Elephas maximus indicus: one gene and its partners. The protein of the gene in region 2 purifies or fractionates together with the protein of the main gene of each other region. This does not show direct contact. Links are inferred from orthologs where the notes say so. Each region holds a gene or a part of one and is shown on either strand. Other genes may lie near its edges.

Region 1 (7,699 bases), on a different chromosome or scaffold from region 2:
AGGGAAGCGCCTGCTCGAGCCTCGCGCCCCGGGGGAGCGGGAAGAGAGCAGCGCGGCGCCTGGACCTCCGGAGCCTTGGGGGCGCAGCGCCGGGAGAGGCGGAGACGGCGCGCGGGAGCCGGGGCCGCTGCACCGCGCGCGGCTGGGAAGGGAGACGGCGCGTGGCGCTCGGCCCTGGAGGGCCAGGGGAGGGGATGGAGCGGAGCCAGCGCAGCCGGACCCTGAGCCCGGCAGGGGAGGGGTCTCCGGCGTCCCGAGCTCGCTGTGGCCACCCGGCGCGGAGCCGGGGCTGCGGCCGCCGGGCAGATGCTGCTTGAGCCCGGGCTCGCGAGGAAGAGGCTCTGCGTTAGGTGCCGAAGGGGGCGAAAGAGGCAGGTCCTGGCAGAGGGCAGGTAAGGCAGGCAGGCCCTGGCAGAGGGAAGGGAATTTATTTCAGATCACCCCAAAGCACTGTTTCCCGAGGCGCCTAATAGTAAACCTGTTCACCGAGGTCACCCTTAAAAGGAAAGTGTCCTGAGATAGAGCAGGATGCAGCTAGCGAATGCTTGCTGTTAAATTTCTGTGCCAGACGTTGGGATTAAGAAAGAAGACCTTGCACGCTTAGCAAACGTTTATTGATTAGCTACTGTGGATAGAGAGCCATTGTCAGCACTGGGGCTACAAAACAGTATTAAACACGACCAGGATTTGCTATTTAGGCGCTGACAATTTGATTGTGAGGGTATCCGTATAAAATACACAGCAGCATTGAAATTTATGTCTCATACCTTTTACTTTAGGTCTGTTTTATTTCATCCTACTATGGGGTCATTGGAGGCATGAGTTGCTTGGTTTTGGGGATAAAGCAGAAGGGTCAAAAAAGTTTATGGGAGAAATTTGAGTTTCGCAAGCTCTTTTGCTTAACATTTAAAGGGGCATAGGGGAAAAATAAATTTGACAGCAGAAAGGAAGCTGACCAGGACGGTGCCTGGTCCACAAGAGTTGTGCGGTGAATGAAGATACACATTTAGTCTGAGCAGTATTGATCACTCTCCAGTTAGGAAGACTGATGGTCCCTCAAGTTCCTTTTTTTTTTTTTTTTTTGCCATATGAGATCACCCAGGTTCTTAGATCAGGGCATGTTAAAGCAGTGGTGGAGTCGTGATTTCTTGTGGCCATTCTCCTGCTTTCACATGCTTATTGCATATTGGCTGTGAGCAGCTTGCTTCTTGGGCTTGAGATTTTTTTTATTGTGGCTCTTCTCTCCTTTTTCTATCACTTGAGGAAGAAGAAAAACATTTTTGTTTGGAAAACACTTTTTCATTTTTATCTTGGTTCTTGGGTCTTAGATCTGCAGTAAGATCTACAGATCTTAGATCTGCTATTCTTGAGGGTCAGTTCTACCTGTCTTCTGTCTTGGTTGGATTTTTGGACTCTTGAGCTCAGGGCTGCTGTTTCCGTTTCCTGGGTTGCAATGCCTGTTGGGTTACTTTGTCTGCCAAAATAAAACTTGACCTTTTATGAGCTCTGTTAGGATTTTGAGGAGCCCTGGTGGCACGGTGGTTAAAGCGTTCGGCTGCTAGCCAAAAGTTGGCGGTTTGAACTCACCAGCCTTTCCGAGGGAGAAAGATGTGGTAGTCTGCTTCCATAAAGACTACAGCCTTCAAAACCCTTTGGACCAGTTCTGCTCTGTCCTACAGGTTCACTATGAGTTGGAATTGACTCGATGGCAGTGGATTTTAGCTTGGGTGTGAATTTTTATCATACGTGAGTGGTACTGCCTTTGCAGGGGGTTGTGCAGTCAAGGTAGCGTTGACAAGGTCTTTGAGTGACCACTATGCCCGAGAGACGAAATTTCTACTCAGTCTAGAAAACTAGACTTAGAACCAGTAGAATTTCAACCTACTATTTGCTTATTTTCTATCTTTAATATATATCTCTCAATACCTTAGTTTCCTCATGTAATATTAATCCAAATTTGGCATTGAGGAGCCCTGGTGGTACAGTGGTTAAGTGCTTCGCTGCTAACCGAAAGGCAGGCTGTTCGAACCCACCAGCCCCACTGCGTCAGCCCTTCTGCGGGTGACGTATGTGGCAGTCTGCTTCACAGTTACATTTTTAAAGATTTATAACCTTGGAAACCCTATGGGGCAGCTCTCCTGTATCCTATAGGGTCACTAAGATTTGGAGTGGGTGAGAAAGTCATGAAGAGATACTTTCTCTTTAGTTCTAGGGCTGCACTTCAGGGTAACTACTAGTTCTTGTTTTCGGGTGCCTCGGTCCTGCAATTTTGGGTGTCTTGTTCCAGGCTTCCCTAATGGTATGATATTTATTTATGTTATTTACATTTATTTTTAAAGCGACTTTATTGATGTACGATTTGTATATGATAAAATGCACAGATTTCCTATGGACAGTTGGATGAGTTTTAACAAATGTTTATACTTTGTAACTACTAGCTCAGTCAATATGTAGAACACTGCCATCATCCGAGAAAGTCGACCTAGCCCCACGTTTCATGTATTTGTAACTACACGAGTATCAGGACTGTGGCATCTAGTTGTGCAGGTTGTATACAGCCCAGCTTTAGCGAGTGCCTGGCAGTTCAGATCCACCAGCTGCTCCTTGGAAATCCTATGGGGCAGTTCTACTCTGTCCTGTAGGGTCGCTATGAGTTGGAATTAACTCGATGGCAATGAATTTTTTTTCATTTTCATCAGAGTCGCTCCTGGAGTTGTGTAGTACACAATATGTGTGGCTCTGTGCTGCAACACTTCTAAGGGCTCATGAATACACACTTGCTTGTGAAACACTCAAATTGTACAAACAAAACCCTCCTTGAGCCACGCCCTTCTCCACAGAAAGTACAGTTATCAGTTTGTTGTGCTCCCTCCAGACCTTTTTTTGCCTTTTCATGTGCCCATAGGTAATACAGGAGCCCTCCTGTGTACAGTGGTTAAGTGCTCAGCTGCTAACTGAAAGGTTGGCAGTTTGAACCCACCCACTGCCCCATGGGAGAAAGATGTGGCAGTCTGCTTCCATAAAGGTTACAGCCTTGGAAACCTTATGGGGCAGTTCTCCTCTGTCCTATAGGGTTGCTATGAGTCAGATCAACTCAGCAGCAGTGGTTTGGTTTTTTTGGTTTATAGGTAATACAGAAAAGACCAGGGATCCCCACCTACGTTAATGACATCATACCATACCAATCGTTCTGCAACTTTTTTTAAACTAATAGACTGTCTTTGAGGTCTTTCCATGTTGGAGCAGAGGGATCTACCTAATTCTTCTTAACTATTAATCTCTCAAGTAGCATGTATGCACTCTAACTCAAAACCGAACTCACTGTCATCTAGTCAGTTACCGACTCACAGTGACCCTATAGGACAGAGTAGAACTGCCCCATAGAGTTTCCATGGAGCGCCTGGTGGATTCAAACTGCCGACCTTTTGGTTACCAGCTGTAGCTCTTAACCACTATGCCACCAGGGTTTCTGTATCACTGTAGATTATTTAATCCTCTTTTCACTAGTGGGCATTTAAGCTGTTTATAGTCTTTTGTTTTTTCACGCATTGCTGCAGTGAATAAGAAGTAGAATTACTGGGTCAAAGGGGTGGCGCAGATTTTAAATTTTAATTGGTGGAGATTTAACCATGTTGCTACTTTTGGATCTGGTTCGCTTATTTTTGACTGCAGAGAGTATTCACCTGTAGACTTCATCACAGTTTATGTTCCCTTTTACTCGGTGAGGGTCAATTAGGCTACTTTGGATACTAACTCTTTGATGGATATGGGTTTTGGAAATGCATCCTGCCAGTCTGAGTCTTGTCCTTCCCCTTGTTAAAGATGCCCTTTGTTGTGTACAAGTTTTCAATTTTCATGTCTGGTTTAGGAAAGTTTTCTCTATCACAGAGTAGGAATTATATAGTCCTGTATTTTCTTCTGGAAACCCTGGCGGTGTAGTCGTTAAGTCCTACGGCTGCTAACCAAAGGGTCAGCAGTTCAAATCCGCTGGGCGCTCCTTGGAAACTCTATGGGGCAGTTCTGCTCTGTCCTATAGGGTCGCTATGAGTTGGAATTGACTGGACCGTACAGGGTTTGGTTTGGTTTTGGTATTTTCTTCTAAAAATTTTGCTTTTCACGTGGAATTTGTTTCTGTGTGTGCTGTAACAAAGAGAGAGAATTTTTTTCAATTTCGTAACTAGTTTTTCAGCACTCTTTAATTGAGGATATCCCTTCCCCTGCTGATTTGACAGCCACCTCTATCATAAGTCAAACTCTCTGAGCCTGTTATCTTTTTGGTAGTTGGGACATCTTGGCTACAGATTTCGTTTTTTTGATGCTTATTGGTTTACTTATATTTTTTTCTTTAGTCAATTTTGGTCATCCTTTTCTAAAACAATTATCTGCTTTAAATTCTGAAATATATTGACATATTTATGTTATTTAATTATATATGTAACATACTTTTATGATTTAAAAAAATCTTTGCCATATCTGTAATTCTTTTATTCCCCCCGTGTTGATTAGCTCTTTTTCTTTATGCTTGATCCATTTGACTTGAATTTTATTTGTAATTAGTTTTTTCCTTCAAAGAACAGATTTAGTCTATTTCTTAATTTTCTATTTAATTGATTTCTTCTTTTATCTTTCTTATATTCTTCCCTTCTTTCAACTTAGAGGTAGGCTTTAGATTTTTAAAATTTTCTTATGGTAAAATGTAAGAGATAGGTTGTATCTGTTTGTGCCCTCCTTTCCTGTAAGACAGACAAACACCCCTGCCCTTGCCATGAGATTGCCAGTATCTTCTGGGGAAGGAAGATACCTCTATTGTGTCGATATCATAGTTAGCCATTTGAGTTGCTTTGGCTAATGAAAAATGAATGGAGGTGATATTGCATGTAGCCACCAGTTTTCTTTCTGTTTTCCCTCTGCCTTGAGAATGGTACGTCCCAAATAGTGTATGTTCCTTCAGTCTGAAATTTAAATGAAGATGTTACATGGAAGACAGCCACAGCTGACCTGTAGCCGACATGTATCACAAATGAGAAATAATAAGTCTTTGTTTAAGCCACTAAGATTTTTGGCTGTTACTAGTTTTAACCTAAAGAAAGTTGATTGATATAAAAATAGGTTCCAAGGATACTATGGTAAATTATATTACTGCTGCCGGTTACTTGCTCACGTGAAGAGCTTACCTGTGGGAGGCATGTATTTCCTGGCCTCATTGTTAGGTTTGGCCACGTGACTTGCTTTGGCCAATGAAATTTGAATGGAAGTGGAAGATGCTAATTCTGGTTCTGAGAGGGGAGCTTTGAGAGCCATTGCATGCTTCTGCCAGCTCTCTTGTACTTTTCCCTCTGGCAGGAGAATGTCGTGTTCCAAACAGGGGCTGCTCCTTCAGCCTTACCCTGGCACGAAGGCGTGTGGAGCAGAGCCAGAGAGACCTGTAGCTGCTTCAGCCTGCATGTATCGTAAGAAGAAATAACCTTTTGTTACTGTAAACTGCTGAGATTTTGGGATTGTTTTTCCCTTAACATAATCTAGTGAAAACAGATTATGTTTGCTGTTCTTTTTCTAATTTTATAAGTTGAATCAATGCATTAATTAAAAAAATGTTCTTATATTTTAATAAGTGCACTTAAGGATACAAAGTTTCTGCTGAGTACTACTTTTCTCCTGTATCAAGTTTTGATTGTATACTCTCTTTGCATTGTTTGATTCTAAATATGTGATGATTTCCTTTATGATTTCCACTTTAACCCTGAGTCATTTAGGAAAATATCTTCTAATTTCCAAACATTTTTTTTAAACTAATTTTTTTTTTAATTGTTGGGTTTTATTTTAATTGCACTGTGGTAGAGAAAGTGGCCTTATGGAAATGATTATTTGTAATCTAGTGTGATTTCCTTTGTGACTTACTCGATTTTTATAAATGTTTTGACATGTATTTAGAAATAATGAATATTGTCTATTTGTTGGGTGCAGGGTTCCATATTACTGTTCGATAAGCATATTAGTTTTTTGTGATTTTTCTATATCCCACCTAATTTTTTGCCTTTTTAATTTATCCATTTTGTATATAACTATATTAAAACCACTTACTGTGGTTGTAGAATTATCAGTTTCTCCTTGTAATTCTCTTAGTTTGTCTTTATATATTTCTAGTTATGTTGCTAGGCTCATGTAAGTTTATGATTGTTGTACCTTCTTGGTGGATTGCTTTATAATTTTGTAGTGTCTTTCCTTGTCCTCATAATGCCTTTTCCCTTAAGATTTATGTTGTTTGATGTCAATGTTGATATTTATAAAATTCTAGTTTGAAATTATTTTCCTTCAGCACTATTTTATGATCTTCTGGCTTTTTTGTTGCTGTTGTTATTGAGAAAAGTCTGCTATTGGTCTACTTGTTATTTATTTGTAGATAGCCAGTCTTTTGTCTCTGGTAGTTTCTAAATTTTATTAGTGATGTTTTATAGTTTTACTGTGATATGTTTAGGTATGGATTTATTTATTTTGCTTGAACTGTGGAATAGACCATCAGTTGCTCATATGCAAGTTCAGGTGAAGCTGAAGAAAATTAAAACAAAAACCAAAATATGACCTTGAGTATATCTCACCTGAATTTAGAGACTATCTCAAGAATAGATGTGACACATTGAACACTAATTACTGAAGACCAGATGCGTCGTGGGATGACATCAAAGACATCATACATGAAAAAAGCAGAAGTTCATTCGAAAGACAGGAAGAAAAGAAAAGACCAAAATGGGTGTCAGAAGAGCCTCTGAAACTTGCTCTTGAACATAGAGTAGCTAAAGTGAGCAGAAGAAGTGACCATGTAGAAGAGCTGAGTAGATTTCAAAGGGTACCACAAGAAGATAAAGTATGATAATGAGACATTTAGAGACCTGGAGTTGGAAAACCAAAAGGAAAGAACATGCCCGGCATTTCTCAAGCTGAAAGAACTGTGGAAGAAATTCAGGCCTCAAGTTGCAATACTGAAGGATTCTATGGACAAAATATGGAACAATGCAGGAAACAGCAAACGAAGATGGAAGGAATACACAGAGTCACTGTACCAGAAAGGATTGATCTACATTCAGCCATTTCAGGAGGTAGCATATGATCAAGAACTGATGGTACTGAAAGAAGAAGCCCAAGCTGCACTGACGGCATTAGCAAAACACAAGGCTCCAGGAACTGACAGAATACTAATTGAGGTGTTTCAACAAGTGGATGCAATGCTGGAGGCACTCATTCGTCTATGCCAAGAAATTTGGAAGACAGCTACCTGGCCAACTGACTGGAAGAGGTCCAGATTTGTGCCCTTCCAAAGAAAGGTGATCCAACAGAATACAGAAATCATCTAACAATATCATTAATATCATATACAAGTAAAATTTTGCTGAAGATCATTCAAAAGCGGCTGAAGCAGTACATCACCAGGGAACTGCCAGAAATTCAAGCTGGATTCAGAAAAGGATGTGGAATGAGGGATATCATTGCTGATGTCAGATGGATCTTGGCTGAAAGCAGAGAATATCAGAAAGATATTTACCTATGTTTTATTGACTATGCAAAGGCGTTCAACTGTGTGGATCATAAAAAATTATGAGTTGTCTCATTTTGAAATTTTATTGTTAATTATTAGATTTCTGTTTGCTGTCTCTCTATAGATTCTTGCAGCTTGTTAAATTTATCATTACGCTCTTGTATAACC
Region 2 (7,671 bases):
CCAAGGCCCGCCCGGACCCCCAAACATGGGGAGCCCACCCCACTCCGCGCGCCCCCTGGCGCCCGCCCCCGGCACTGCCCGCTCAGCCGTGACGCAGAGGCCACCGCCCTCCGGCCTAGCGCGGCTCGGCCACTCACCTGCGGGGGGCGCCCGGCGGGGCGGGGGCGCACCGGGGCGGGGCAGCAGCAGGGGTTGCCCCCGGGCCAGCCCATCCCGCCGGGGCCCTTGCCGAGCGGGACCAGCAGGAGGAGGGGAGCGGGCGCGCCGCGCTCGGCCGGCCGGGCTCCCTCCCACCCCGCCGCTCCCCGCGGCCACGGCCGCCCTCTCCCTCGCCCCTTTCCTCCCTCCCTCCTTCGCCCCGGCTCCAATCCCCACGTTCCGCCCGCTCCCCGCCCCCTCGGCCTCTCTCCTTTCTCCGTCTTCTCTCCACCTTCTCCCGCGAACGCAGACTCACAAAGAGACAAGAAGCAAGAGGAACGCAGAGACGGTCAGAGGAAGAGTCAGGGAGAGACTCTGACAGGAAGAGACTAAGAGATCGGGAAAAAGATTTTGAGAAAGGCATGGAGAACACAGGGACAGGAAAATTTCAGAGACAGGGAGAAACCCAGAGATGGCAACAGACAGTCGAGGAGAGGCTGACCTGGAGGGACACAGGCAAAAAGAAACACCCGAGCCAGACAGACGCCGAAGGAAAGGTGGACATTGGCCCCGTAGGGAGTAGAATCAAAAGTGCCGAGAACTGCCCGGTCTCTCGCAGCCTGCCCCCTTCACAGGAGCTTGTTTGGCACTGGGCTTGACCCCAAAGCCCCAGCCGGGACCCACCCGCGGCCTGGCCTGGTGAGGCCAGGCCCATCTGCCCACGGGGCGCCAGAATCAGGTGAAGACACCTGGTGTTACTTGTGTGCCAAGTTGCCTGACACCCTTTCCTGGTCCTCTGCCTCACGGGAGACTTTGATGTCACCTATGCCTGCAAAAGGACTCACACCAGAGGACCCCATATTGTGCTCAACCAGTGCCTCCCCACATGCAGCTCCAGTCATCCCAACCATTGCCCTACTTCGGAGCTGGATGGTCATTCCCACTCCTTAGGAGACATCTGTTCAAGAAAGTCTTGCTTATATTTAACTCAAGTCCCAGGCTTCCCCAATGATGATTAAAGTTCCTTCTATAATCTAACCTCATTCCCTTCTTTTGCAGTTTCTGGATCTAGTATTGAATAGGAGCTTCCTGAAATGGAGCTAAATGGGTGCTGAGGGTGGTTTGAATTGTGCCACCCTGGAGGGGAAGTGGGAGGGGAGGGATGAAAGAGGGGATGTCTTCCTAAAAGCTCTGAGCCTACTGCCATGCCCAGATTCCCTAACGTTCTTTAACAGTGAGCACTTCCTGAAACTTCCTCTCTCCCTCACCCTCCCCACTAGAATTTCCATGATGAAAACTGGTAAGGGGGGGCTCAGGGAGGGGGGAAGGTGGATTCTGGATTCTGAGAATTCAGTGCCCAGGGCTCAATGCCCAGTGCCTGCTCAAAGCAGCCAGTGCCCCCAGCGCTAAGACCCTCTTTCCCTCCCTGTCCCATCTTTCAGCTGGGTCTCTTTCTGTCCTCATCTTGCCTCTGGCAGAGGCTGGGAAATATGGTTCCTATTAGAAGGGGGTGGAGCACCTGAGTCCAAGTTGGCGGCAGGGAGGAGACTGAAGCAGAGCATGGTGACAATGTGGGTCCCTCTGAAACCAGCCTTTGGCGGGGGCTGGTGTGGCTGGGATGGAGCCCTGGTGGTGGAGTGGCTCAGCTGTTAACCAAAAAGTCAGCAGTGTGAATCCACCAGCCACTCCTTGGAAACCCTACGGGACAGTTCTACTTTGTCCTGTAGGGTCGCTATGAGTCAGAATCGACTTGACAGCAGTGTTTTTTTTTGGGTGGGGTGGGGTTGGTATGGCTGGGACTGGGAAGCTTTTATTTTACCACTCTTGGCTGAGTTGGTGTCCAGTAAGCAGTTTCAGAGGTTAGATCAGTGAGAGTCACCAGGGTCTGGAGGAAGGGCTGGGGGCTAGGGGTGGTGATGTGGTGGGGTCTTGGAGGGAAGGGGTAGAGACACAGGGAGGAGGCGAGAGGCAGAGTTAAGACAGAGAAGAGTGGCAGAGATTGGAGGCTACTGGGGAAAGGGCAGGACTGAAGGTCATGCTGTGTATTTTGCCAAGATTTGATTACATAAGCAAGATACAGATGATATGATTTCCTTATGTCTTTGGAGCCTACAGCTGGCTCTTAACATCTTGCCCTTCCCAATGTTCATTAGGGTCTTTGGCTGGAGACTAGGATGCATTTCATGTGGGTATTGAGGGAGAGATTGGGACTCGGAGAAGAGGATTGGATCCCAGAGAGGTGGGTAGAGCTAGGACCTCACACATGCCGGTATTGCTGCCTTGACTGATGGGCCCACAAGAGGAACTTCTGAGGTCCTGAGAAGTTGGGGGAGGGCCACAAGACAGGTAGCTGAACTCCCAACTCAAACTTGAATCCTACTCTCAACATGGAGACTAAGGGTTGGGGGAAGGAGGCTGCAGGAAAGAAGCTGATGAGAAGGTTGGGAGTGAAAAATCTTATAGAAGGTGGCTTGGTGGGAGTGAAATAAAAATGGGTGGTAAATGAAGCCCAGCCAGGCACTCTGATTAGCAGCTCAGAACAGTGGGAACTTCAGAAGGGAGGGGGAGAGGAAAGGGAAAGCCAGGAGAATGTTAATGAGGGTGAAACAATTTTAGGGATACCCTCTGACCCTCCCTCCATGTAGGTTTTCTTACCTTGACTATGCAGAAGGCAGCCCATCTTGGCACCAAAGGCTGAACCCCTTCTTCCATAGTCTGGGGTGATCCCATGCCTGTGACTGCGTGTGCTCAGATCCTTGCAGTGGTAGGGGTGCTACAGAAGAGGGACATTGAGGGTGTGGGGGTGTCCTGGCTGGAAAAGCACTGGGTCAGGGGAACTTCGGTGGAGGATTTAGGCGCTGGAAACCAGGAAGAGCGGGGGAAGGGGATGAACTGACTCCAGAGGCGGATCTCCTGGCCCTGAGGACAGAGGGTGTATTGTCCAACCGGGAGGTTGCTGCAGCTGGGCGGGGAGCAGCACAGCCCGACCCTTCCAAACTCCTTTTTGAGGAGTGGGGTGGGTGATGAAAGGCAAGTTCCCCCTTCTTCACTTGTGGCCCTAGGGGCTACAGTGGTTGCTGAGAAACAAGGATATGTGACAAATACAGCTTCCCAGGAGCAGCAGTGCAGCTCTTCCATTTCCTGAGAAACCAGATGCTGTGAGCCTGAGTAGCACTTGAGGCGACGCCCTCAGCACTCACCCAGACCCTCATTGCCTTGTAACGCAGAACACAGTTGTTAGCGTTGGATTGTTTAGGGGACTGGAATACACAGGGAACTCGCCCAGCCTACAGCTGAGATGCTGCACCCATATACCCTTCACCCACCTTCCTGTTTGCTCATGATTTACAGTAAACTGAGAGTGCAAGCTGGCCAGTCCTGGGATCCATTTCTGCTGCTGGGCTTCTAAGAGGACCCACACACCCTGATATAACTGAGGATGTGGGGCACAGCAAAGCCTATAGCTTTTCCTGGAACTTAGGAGTCCCTGGGTAGCACAAATGGTTACCTGAAAGGCTTGTGGTTTACACCCACCCAGAGGCACCTCGGAAGGCCTGATGGTCTGCTTCAGAAGGATCACAGCCATCAAAACCATGGAGCAAAGCTCTACCCTGAACCATACGGGCTGCCATGAATTGACTCAACGGCAACTGGTGGTCCTAGTTCTGGAGTGCCTCGTTCCGTACCTTTTCTGTGCACAACCCACATAAGCCTCTTTAAGTCAGCCTTTCTGCTTTTGTCTGCCTTTTCATCATTATTTACCCAGACCTCACTATTTCACAGGAGGGGAGGGACTTAAACTGGAGGCTTGGAGAATGAAGGTGACCAAGGCCACTTCCTGTGCCGCAGCTGGGCAAACAAGCACTGTTTTATAGGCACCACAGGCAGCCTGAGCAGGGGCACCTTTTCCTCCCTACCTACACCCACACTGAATGGCTTCTGTATCATCACAGCACACTGAGCCTTATCCCTCAACTTGCTGACTTTGGAGAACCAAGATCAGCGCATGAAGAGCAGCTGCTCCAGCTGGCCCTGTGAGGCAGTTTAACTGTGTGCCCCTTCTTCACATCCCTTGGCTCCAAGTCCCCCAAATTGACTGAAGCTTCCTGGGTCTTCTATGCTCCACCCCTCGTGACCTTAAGGACTCTCTGCCACTGTCCTAACTCCTTTTCTACTTTGCAACAATGACCAGTCTGTTCTTCTGTTTGGAAAATTCCTGCTAGGTCTGAGGGATGATCTCAAGCGGCCTCAGTTGTGGTAGCCCAGGCCAGCCTGTCACCCAGAACTTCATCCCACCAGAGCGGGGTAACCCAGCAAAGTAACACCTCTGGACTGAAGTAAGGGCAAGCGTTTGCAGAGGAACTGACCCATGCATGTGAAGATTTACCCTCGGGACATCTCATGCCTGAAAGGTATACTACAGGCAAGCTCAGCTGATACAGTAAAGGTTAACCTGGAGGGGAGCTGGTGTGAGAGTTGTCTTAGGGCTTCAGTAAGCATCAAAATAGATTTCTCTTGTAAATCTACCCTCTGGTTTTGCACAAAACAGATCTAGTGCTGAAGGAGAACTTTAGAGATGGTGGGGATGGAGCAGGCTGGGGTGTCAATGTGAGTTCAGTAAAAAGCAGTGGGAGTGGGGAGCATATGTCAAAGAATTTCTGCATTAAAATGAACTTTAAAGATCAGATTTATTTGGAGAAAACAAAAAAACCCACAACCCAAAGGATGGGGATTTTACATCTCCCAGGTATTAAGTCTACAGATTACAAATCATTTTCATAGAAGATATTTTTGTACAAATTTTACATGTATTCAGGAGCTGGACATAAATCAATCAGTTTCTGCTTTAACAGGAGGGCAGAGCAAGGGAACGGGAAAGAACAGCTCTTTTGGACACAACTATTTGGAAGGAGAGTAGGCATGAAGAGGGTAAACCCTACTTCTCATTATCTACAGCAAATGGTTTTAAAAATAAAAAATTTCAACCTTGTGTCTCTCTCTCTAAAAGCCCATTTCCTAGTTTCTGACCAATCCATGCTCATTACTTAAAGTTAATTTACTTGGTAGAGCTTTCCTGCCCACTGGGTAGATGATTCATTATGCTTAGTGCCACGGCGAACCAACCAACACCCCTGCGTGGCCAACCTAGGGCCCGATGGCAGAAGGGCTTGCAAACAAGAGACCAAGGTGTCATTTCTCTGCAGGTACCACTGGAAGGACACCATCTACCAAGGTGACCCGTACAAAGGCGCATATAAAAGCAGGCAAGTTAAGCTACTGTGTTGTAAGAGAAACCAGGACCTTGTTACAGTTCTGTCATTTATTCTCTCAAGTGAAGCTAAACACGCAGGCATACATGCACACGCACACACACACACACGTCTAGGCCACATTATAAAACACTCGTGTGGGATTATCAGTGGAGAGAAGGAAATGTGTTAAAAAAAAAAAAAATCAAGGTTGTTAAGGCTCTCAATTTAACTGTCCCTATTTATCTACTCTCATTCACCACCAAAGACCATTAATTCTGAGTTTTCTGATCTGTAAAAGGGGTCAAAGTAACAGGAGCAGGCCCGGCTGATGAGAAGGAGTGAGAGAATAAAGACATCAAGGAGCCCATTCGCTTGAGAAAAACAGTGATTCCTCACCTGACAGCTTCCAGAGGCTGAGATACAAAATGCCTAAAATCAGGTATGTGACTTACATAGAAGCTGATTTTCTGGGATGTAACAATAAAGAACAGTGTAAGGAACACTAAGATAATGACAAGTCTAGACCTTTATAAGCTTCAAGGCTGACAGAACGTGGATATACTTGAAGTTTCAGAAAAGAGTGTTTAGAAAGGGCAAAACCAGGACACATATGACCCAGGAATTCCCACAACACCTAAGTGCTTCCTACTCCAGGAAAAAAAACCATTCATGTATTTATCGGAGGTCATACCATTTCCCTATTACCTGGTGCAAAAGAAATACTTGCCAAAGCTTCTTGATTTTCCCATATTTTTGGTCACCAAGCAGTCCTATTCTTTCACAAAGGCCTGTAGACTCACTCCCTACTACCCCCCTGGGGGGTAAAAATGGAAGAATTCCCCCTAGGCTGGCCCCAGGGACTAGCAGCCTCCCAGAGACTAAAACAACCTCAGAGACTATTTAACCTACCTTCCAAGGATGGACAATTTATTGAGATAATGTTTCAGAATTCATATATGCCACAATAGAATAATAAGAATTAAAAGGTAGAACTCTCGCGCTCTCCCTTATACCTGCCCTACCACGGCACTGGGTTTGGGTACTGCCCAGCCAGCTTCCAGACACTGAATCACTGTCATTACCACTTCTGCTAAATGGAGGCCTCTAGACACTAATCACACAGACAACTGCATGGTGTCATAAAATGCACAGCTTTTCCTCTGGAAGCTGCGTCTTTTTCTCTCTGGCGACATTGGTGATTCTCCAGTTAGTTCAATACTTTAAAGGCTGCAGCAGCATGCAAAAGAATTTCATTAAAAAAAAAAAAAAAAGTTAAGAAAGGTCTCCAGGAGATGGTGAGTTTTATTTTGTCGTGTCTGGACAGAGGTTTGATTTGCTCTTGAATGTTCCAGGGTGGAGAGAGACTAGGAGAAAGCACAGGACATAGAGGTCTATTCGGCGTAATCTTCTCCCTCGTTTTCATCTTCACCATCAACTGAGAGAGCAGCATACTTGCTTGCAGAACTGAATTTCTGTAACAGATTAGAGTGAAAATAACAAAGGCCTTGAACTCCCACATCAAAACTCAAGAAAAAGAACACAGATACTTTGGCAAAAGGAGAATGAATGCCCAGATTACAGCCACTTGCTCATTGGCATAACTGTAGTCACACAGCATCTTTTACCTTCATTCCGTGAAGGAGCGAGTGCAGTCAAAGGTACAAAAGGGGAAAACCAATTTATCTACCATCAGTCGCCACCCAAGACCATTCATTCTAGAGTTTTCTGACCTATAAAAGGGGTCAAAGAAACAGCAACAGGCATGGCTGTTTGGAAGGAGTCAGAGTAAAGACATCAAGGAGCCCATCTGCTCTAGAAGAACAGCAATTCCTCATTTGACAGCTCCCAGTGGCCGAGATACGAAATGCCTAAAATCAGGTATGTGGCTTCATGTACTATTTCAAACAAACACCAAAGTCTCATTTCCAACCACTCTACTTGTAGTCCCAAATGTTAAGGAGTCCAATGGCAAAAGTGAAAATATCAAGATCCTTTAAAAGTGGCATTTCAGAATAAGTGTGACCTGAGAGAAATTGAAGCCTTTAACACGTACAGAGGCTGGATTTTCTTCAGGTTTCTTTGGCTCAGGTGCAGATCTAGAGTCTTGATCCTTTTTGCCATCTTTCCTGCAGAGATTAAGCACAAAACCCCATCTTTAGGAGAGGACCCCCCTGACCCCGCAACTCTGAGGCACTGAACAGATACCTCCAATCACCAGTCCTTGCTATCTGGACATTTTACTATTTCTAGATTCTCAGAATTGTACCTATCTTTATTGGCT
Region 3 (7,325 bases), on a different chromosome or scaffold from region 2:
GAAGGGTGGCAAGGGAAAGCAGGGCCTCCCAGAAGTGGCTACCTGGGCAGGGACAATTGTGTGTACATTACTAAAAAAAAAATGTCTGGAAATCCTATAATGCCATGGAATAATTTTTTATTTCACATGTTCAAGACATTTCCTTTTTTTACTTTGGTCTCCTTTAATTAGATTATTTTTAACATTTGGTAATTTGTTCGTAGACACTAAGATTATGGAAAGAAAATGAAATACTTAACAAAAGTTTAGGGTAAATATTTTAATATAAAAAGAACCTGTAACAACTATACATGCATAATCCATAGATTTCAACATATTCAATTCTCCCCCATTATAGCTCAATGGGTACCCAAGAGGCAAATAATCTAAATTAGATCACAACAATCTAGATGAGAACATACCAGCCAAGGACTGGTAATTTTAAAAATAACACTCAAGGCTAATTTTGAGCAAATATATATTTTCAGTTTACTTCATTTTATTATGTTCTATTATTCCCTTTAGGTTCTGCAACAGTCATTTGAAACATCAACCTCTTAACTGTCAAAAGTTTAAAGCGAAACATTTAATGGTTTCACCCCTTATACTTTGAGGTCAGTAAATAATAGACATCTCAAGGCTTAATCTATCATAGAGACTGCTCTGAATACCAAAAATGGCCATGTGTTCCACCAGAATATGCCATCCATAAAAATATACTTTTTTATAGCTTTATTTCTATCAAGATCACCAAGATCTACCCCTCAGATACATGAAAACATTCAGTTCAGTAACAAGAGAAAGCTTAGGCCCTTGTGGAATTTGAAGTCATGTACACATGAGTTTTCTATTTTTATTAAAATAACACACCGTAAAATATTTATTTAAAAAAGAATGCCTTCTGTCTTCCTAAAGCCTTTGGACTGCTCAGAGGGCAGAAAAGAATGCCATCAAAAAAGAATCAAGACTCAATCAGCACAGGATTTAAGCATATGTAAAACAGTAGTCTACTCAGTAAAGGTTTGCACGTTTATTCTAATTGTCTTCTGATTTCAAGGGCTATAAGTAACTCAGACCCTATGGCGCAAGACATACGCAGAGAAGTGAGACTATTAATATTAACACCAGCAAACGAAACAAGATTAGTGTCAAAAAAAAAAAAAAAAACTTTAAAAAGCCATAATACTGCAATTACAAGTCCTGTGCATAGCTTTTTAAATCAGGTCCCTGAAAGGTTATTTTAATTTTCTATTAAGACCACATGATTCTTTTGAAAAAAGAGAAAAGTAACAGCCAAGAAATGAAGAGAACTATAGCACACTAATCTACTACACTTGGCCAAGAAATCTAATTTACTAAGAAAATATGGGCTGTTCCAGTCATTTCAGTTTGGACTTAAATTTGTTCCAAAGAAACAATGCTCAAAAGCACTTATTACCTCATTTGTATGGAGTTAAAAGACACTAAAAGGGAGTCGTTCCATGGTGACAATATTCACACATGATCTGTAGGGTGAAACAAGATATATCTCTTGAGTTGGTTTTTTTTCTGTTTTTGTTTTTTCCTCAGACAGCTGATACAACTGTTACATAAACATGTATGTACGTCTGAACCCATCGGAAATACTAAGTCACCGCGGAAGCAAACTCTTGAAAGAAAAGTGCACCCCCAAGTAATTATGCATCCGCGGTTCTCCAGGACGAGACTGCATTAAAACAAAAACCCCTTCCCTGATATCTCCCCCAAAAGGGGAGGACAAAAAACTACTTTTTTTTTTTTTTTTTAAATAAAGTCTCTTCTGACTATGTGGGCAACTCCTGTCTGGAGGCAAGATGAGAAGGAAGAGGGAAACAGGAGCTAGGTGAATGGACACAGGGAATACAGGGAGGAGAGGAGGAGTGTGCTATCTCATTAGGGGGAGAACAGCTAGTAGTACACAGCGAGGTGTATATAACTTTTTGTATGAGAGAGTGACTTGATTTGTAAACTTTCATTTAAAGCACAATAAATAAATAAATTTAAAAATAAATAGTCTCTTTTTAGTCAATTGAGCAAAGCAAATGCCATATGGATGAGATCTACCACTATTCCACGGTCACAGAGGGAACTTTTTGCCTCTAAACCATAGTAAACAGTCAACAGATAGTAAGTAACTTTGAAAATACAGAGAGAGAGAGTGAAACATTTTTCACAACAAACGTATGGTTCCTTGAGCGCCTTTTCCAAAGGAGCCAATAACTTCAGCAAACTGTCCCACTGTGCAGAGAATGATGAAACAGGCAGTTATGGCCTCCACTATTCAGAGGCCACAACAGCAGCGGCATCAGGAAGAAAAGGCCAGGTCTATTCCGTCACCAGCCAGGCTCTGCCTTCAGAGCTCTCTTACTTAACAAACTAGGCTCAGCAAGTGAAAGAGAGAGAAGCCTGTCTCCCACGGACATCCTCTTTTCAAAACCTCCCTGGCTGGTCCTGAGGCACGTTGACAAGCTTACCTGGTAATCGTTTGCAAGTCTGCAGAGCTATTTGCCCGGGCAAATCAAATCTGCACTTTTTCCAACGAAATGTGGTGGTGGCTGGACGGCTCATCACCTACACAGGCTTAAACGAAGAGGACAAAGATCCAGAGGAAGCAGACCACAAAAGCAGCATGCGAACTGCACACTGGGATGTCCTGTTTCTTTTGGTGTCTTTTATTTTTCCCATGAGAGGATCTGACTAAACCTAAGCCAGCCTCCTCTAAATACCAGACAGGAAGTTACACTTAGCAGTTAGTGAAAACTCTTTAGGTAGTTGTTTTGTTTTTTTTTTAATAGTCATAACTAGGGGCCTTTGAATGCTCCTCCTGGTCTACCACTGAGAGATTAAAACATTGTTTCCTGTTTTGAAGTGTTAGCTGGTAAGGGGGTACCCTCCACCTACCTCCCTACTCACCATGTCTATAAATAGAGGCTTCTGTCCTGAGTCTACAACAGGGCTGAAGAGTTCGGTTACATATTAACTATACTTCAAAGAATAAATTATACTTATTTTTCACTTTAATATGTATCTATATCTTGGAGGAATAGAACTCAAAAGGCTTTCTTGTTTATCCCTTAGAAATTATTGTTATGAAAAAATAATAAGCTTAACCATACAACACTATTAGAGAGAACCATCTTGACTCACACTTTCCAGCCCATTCAATTCTGTGTCTGCCTGCTCTCTTCCTGTCTCTTGTTGGACATGTTCTCCATAGGAAAACCATTACCCATATTATCTCGCCTGCTTTCTTATTCCTTGCCTCTTTCTCTATTCTGTTTTGAAATACAAACCTTCTATGCACAAAGATTTTCACAGACTATGTAACCTTGATGGAATACCCACAGGTTTAAATTTAAAGCCATTTCTGTTCCTATTCCTGCCACTAGCTGAGGTACAGAAGAGAGAACTCGTCAGTACTTGCCCCACCCTCTCTAACTTAAGTATTTTTCCTGGGCTAGAAGCTGTGTGATTCTGGTAAAACACTATAAGCCTCACTTTCCACATCTGTAAAACGGGAGTAGTGACCTCACCTGTCTCCTAGGACGGTTGTGAGGAGACAGTGAAAAGCAGGGTGAAAAACAATTATGTCACGTAATTAAAGCTTAATTCTCTTTTTCTCTTGGGAGGGGGGTCAACAGCTTTGTTGAGATATAATTCACACACTATCCAATTCACCCGTTTAAAATGCACAATTCAATGGCTTTTAGTATATTCACAGAGTTAAGCAACTATCACTACCTAATTTGAGAACATTTTCATCACCCCAAAAAGCCATCACTCTCCATTTCTACCCCACCTACCCACCCCAACAACCCCAGGCAACCACTAAAATAAAACTTCTGTCTGTATAGATTTACCTATTCGAACATTTCATATAAATGAGATGATGCAATACCTGGTCTAATGTGACTGACTTCTTTCACTTAACATGTTTTCAGGGTTCACGCATGATGCGGCATGTATCAGTACCTCATCTTTTTTTTTTTTTTAATGGCAAAATAAAACTAGTGTTCCTGGAAGGTCCACTTAATGCGCTTGGCTGCTAACTAAAAAGTTAGAGGTCGGAGTCTACTCAGAAGTGCCTGGGAAGAAAGGCCTGGTGATCGCCTTCAGAAAAACCAGTCGCTGAAAACTCTGTGAAACACAGTTGTCCTCTGCCACACCTGGGTCGCCAGGAGTCGGGAGTCGACTCGACGGCTGCTCAACATGAAATATTCCATTGTACGGACACGTCACATGTTATTTATTTACTCATCAGTTGTGAAGCGACATCTCATTGTGGTTTAAGTTGCATTTTCCTTACAGCTGACAAAGCCAAATTCCTATCAGCAGGCCAAAAATGTCTCCATTCCTATAAATCCAAAACCCACTGCCATGGAGTCCATTCCGACTCATAGCAACCCTACAGGGCAGAGCAGAACTGCCCTACAGGATTTACAAGGCTATAATCTTCAGGGCAGCAGACTGCTACATCTTTCTCCTGTGGAACGGCTTGTGGGTTCGAACAGCTGACTTTTCGGTTAGCAGCACAGCTTTTAACCACTGTACCACCGGGGTTCCCTTCCATTCCTATCCAACTAAATACTCGAAACAGAGCAACCAGCCAGGTACAAGCACTGCATAAATCAGAATGCATACCAACTACCGTGCTGGAGCAGGTCCTGAAGGTCCCTAGCTTTAACAGCAGTTATTTTCCAACAGATATGAAAGACCTTCAACATTTTAACAACAGTCTAGCGGTATTGGTGCATCCCAGCTAAACATCGCTAGCCTTCAGATTTAAATCTCAGGAAGGGCTTGCTAAAGCAGTTGCATCTTCTCTACAAAAAGGTTACATAAGAAAATTGGAGAGAAGAAATTCTAAATGTAAATACCACATTTCAATCATTCACATATCGGTTCTCTCCACCTGCCTTTCTGTGTATCTCTTCTTCTTAAATAGAAATAGGATCACTTAAACCATTCTTCTGTAAGTAAATAGCCATAATTACCGATAGGAAGAAATTTTAGACGAGACTGTGATTTAAGTTAAACATTGAGAATCTCCCAAATTTTGAAGGTAGGCAAGGGGAACAAGAATCTAGACACTAGCAAGAGTTTCCTCTCCCCTCTCAAAAACTGTGATATGGAGAGAAGAATTACTACTATTCAAGGAAATCTAACTCACAAGGATTATGAATTTTTTCAGATCTTACCACGTTTGAACAAATTCATGCACAAAGATGTGAATTACCTCCTTCCTGAAACATCCTACTTCTAGGATTTAAAATTTTTTTTTTAATTTCTTTTAAAAAATCAAAGCAGAATAAAATCTCTGTAAAGCATAACCAGGAAAACATGAGAAGGTTATAAGCTTAAAAAACAAAGAAAGGAAAGTTTTCTATTTTCTAATGTAAGGCGTCAGGCCTGAAACATGGATTCATAACATGATTCATCCATTTTCTAAGAAATTTTCCATGCCCCAAGGCTGCACTATGTAATTCATTGTTTCAGTTATTTCTTGGCATACAGCTGACTGTGCAACTGACCGCTGAACTTCCTTGTCAAACAGAACTTTCCATTGTGGGAAATTTCTAAAACATTCATATTAAGCTAAGTGGAAATGTCATCACAGCTCAAGAGCAAAAATGGTCTGTATCAACGAATCCAACTTCTACGGAGGCGGCAAAGGCAAGCCACCGAACAAGCGCAAGTGCGGATGCCTCACTGGAGTTTCTATAAAAAGTTGGTTGTGAAAAGGACAAACACTGTATGATCTCACTTGCTTATATGAAATATGCAAATATAGGGAAACCAAAGCTTATTAGTGGCTACCAGGGGTTCGAGGAAGGGGGAAAGGGGAAGTTGCTGCTTAGGGGAAATGGAGTTTATGGTAATGGTGCTAACATAATTTGGAAAAAGATAGTGAGAACAGTAGCATGGCATGAAGAATACAATCAGTGTCACTGAATTATGTACGTAAAAATTTTGAACTGGCAAATGTTTTGTTATGTATATTTTTAACACTATTAAAAAAAAACTTGATTGTGAAGACGTTTAGGAACAAAGATCAGTTTATTAGAGTTGTTGTTGGGTGCTGCTGAGTCAATTCCAACTCGTAGCGGCCCCACGTGACAAAGCAGAACTGCCCCCTGGGGTATTCTTGGATGTGATCTTTAAGGAAGCAGATTGTCAGGTGTTTTTCCCATGGAACCACTGGGTAAGTTGTAAGAGTTACCTGAGGGTTTTCTGGTGGCGTAGTGGTTAAGTGCTACAGCTGCTAACCAAAAGGTGGGCAGTTCAAATCTACCAGGCGCTCCTTGGAAACTCTGTGGGGCAGCTCTACTCTGTCCCATAGGGTCTCTATGAGTTGGAATCAACTCAACGGCAAAGGGTGTTTTTGTTCTTTTTTGGTTTAATAGGAGGACACTTGTTAAAACTGTTGCATAGTGTCAGACCCCTTCTGCTAGATTACACGATGCCCTCATTTCTAGTTTTTATGAAATCAATAGACCATTTATGTTGCAAGTATCTGTCTAGGGTATGCACTCTCTTATTCAATGTGGTGTTGACAGCAGTAATCAAATTTTGTACATACCACTAGCTCTATTATAGCTCAACGGCAACTGGCCGCCAGCCTAGGTCTACTCTCATCAAAAAGGAAAGAAAGGATTGCAGTGGCAAGAGAATTACAGAACAACTCAGCTGAAACCACGGGAGGTAGTAAAGAAGGGAGAGAGTAAAGCAAAGGCATTCAGGGACTAATCCTCTCTCCACCCAGGATACACGCGCCCAGCAGCGGCAGCGCCGCCAAACCCAGACAAGGGGCCTTGACCATTAAAGGCACACATTTTCTTCATTCCTTCTGTTATCTACAAACCCTCTTGGCTTTGAACATCTTATTATAACTGTCAGTCCTAACTAATGAACCTCACCTGACCCTTGAGAGCAGCAGACAAAAGTAAGAGTCAAAGCACCCCCTCCCGGACCAGGGATTCCACAGGAAATGGAACTCAGGACTCACAGCACTGGCTGTGATGTCTCAAGACACTGGCTCAGCGTGTAGTTATCCTGTATGCACTTAAGCTAGGGTCAAGCAGTTTTTTCAGATCAGAAAATATTAAAATCTTTTGATAGAAACAAGGTTAGCTAAAAAAAAAATGGGGAGAAGGTGAAGATCTGACTTTGAAATTTTATTTGACTTTCATTTCTAGACTGAATTCTCCAAGAAAACCACACTCCTGCTAATAGATGGGAGTCCCTGGGTGGTGCAGTCAACGTACTCGGCTGCAAACTGAAAGGCCAGAGGTTCAAGTCCACCCAGAGGCACCTCAGAGGAAAGCCCT

What was found.
Region 1: the proteins of TNS2 (region 2) and DTNB purify together in Homo sapiens (affinity purification with mass spectrometry; 3 studies listed by BioGRID and IntAct, with this or other methods). This does not show direct contact. The link is inferred for Elephas maximus indicus from reciprocal best matches to the Homo sapiens genes TNS2 and DTNB.
Region 3: the proteins of TNS2 (region 2) and UTRN purify together in Homo sapiens (affinity purification with mass spectrometry; 4 studies listed by BioGRID and IntAct, with this or other methods). This does not show direct contact. The link is inferred for Elephas maximus indicus from reciprocal best matches to the Homo sapiens genes TNS2 and UTRN.

The regions. Positions count from the first base shown.
Region 1 is NC_064830.1:43,591,011-43,598,709, reverse strand, and holds the start of DTNB (dystrobrevin beta), read left to right. Parts: upstream 1-4,612; 5' UTR 4,613-5,304; coding exon 5,305-5,450; intron 5,451-7,699.
Region 2 is NC_064822.1:108,563,580-108,571,250, reverse strand, and holds the start of TNS2 (tensin-2), read right to left. Parts: upstream 3,007-7,671; 5' UTR 2,869-3,006; coding exon 2,794-2,868; intron 312-2,793; exon of another isoform or gene 213-311; coding exon of another isoform or gene 138-212; intron 1-137. Other genes in the region: EIF4B (eukaryotic translation initiation factor 4B), read right to left, coding at 6,782-6,862, 7,444-7,516. UniProt on the Homo sapiens protein: Tyrosine-protein phosphatase which regulates cell motility, proliferation and muscle-response to insulin. Phosphatase activity is mediated by binding to phosphatidylinositol-3,4,5-triphosphate (PtdIns(3,4,5)P3) via the SH2 domain.
Region 3 is NC_064819.1:214,931,371-214,938,695, reverse strand, and holds the start of UTRN (utrophin), read right to left. Parts: upstream 3,013-7,325; 5' UTR 2,566-3,012; coding exon 2,472-2,565; intron 1-2,471.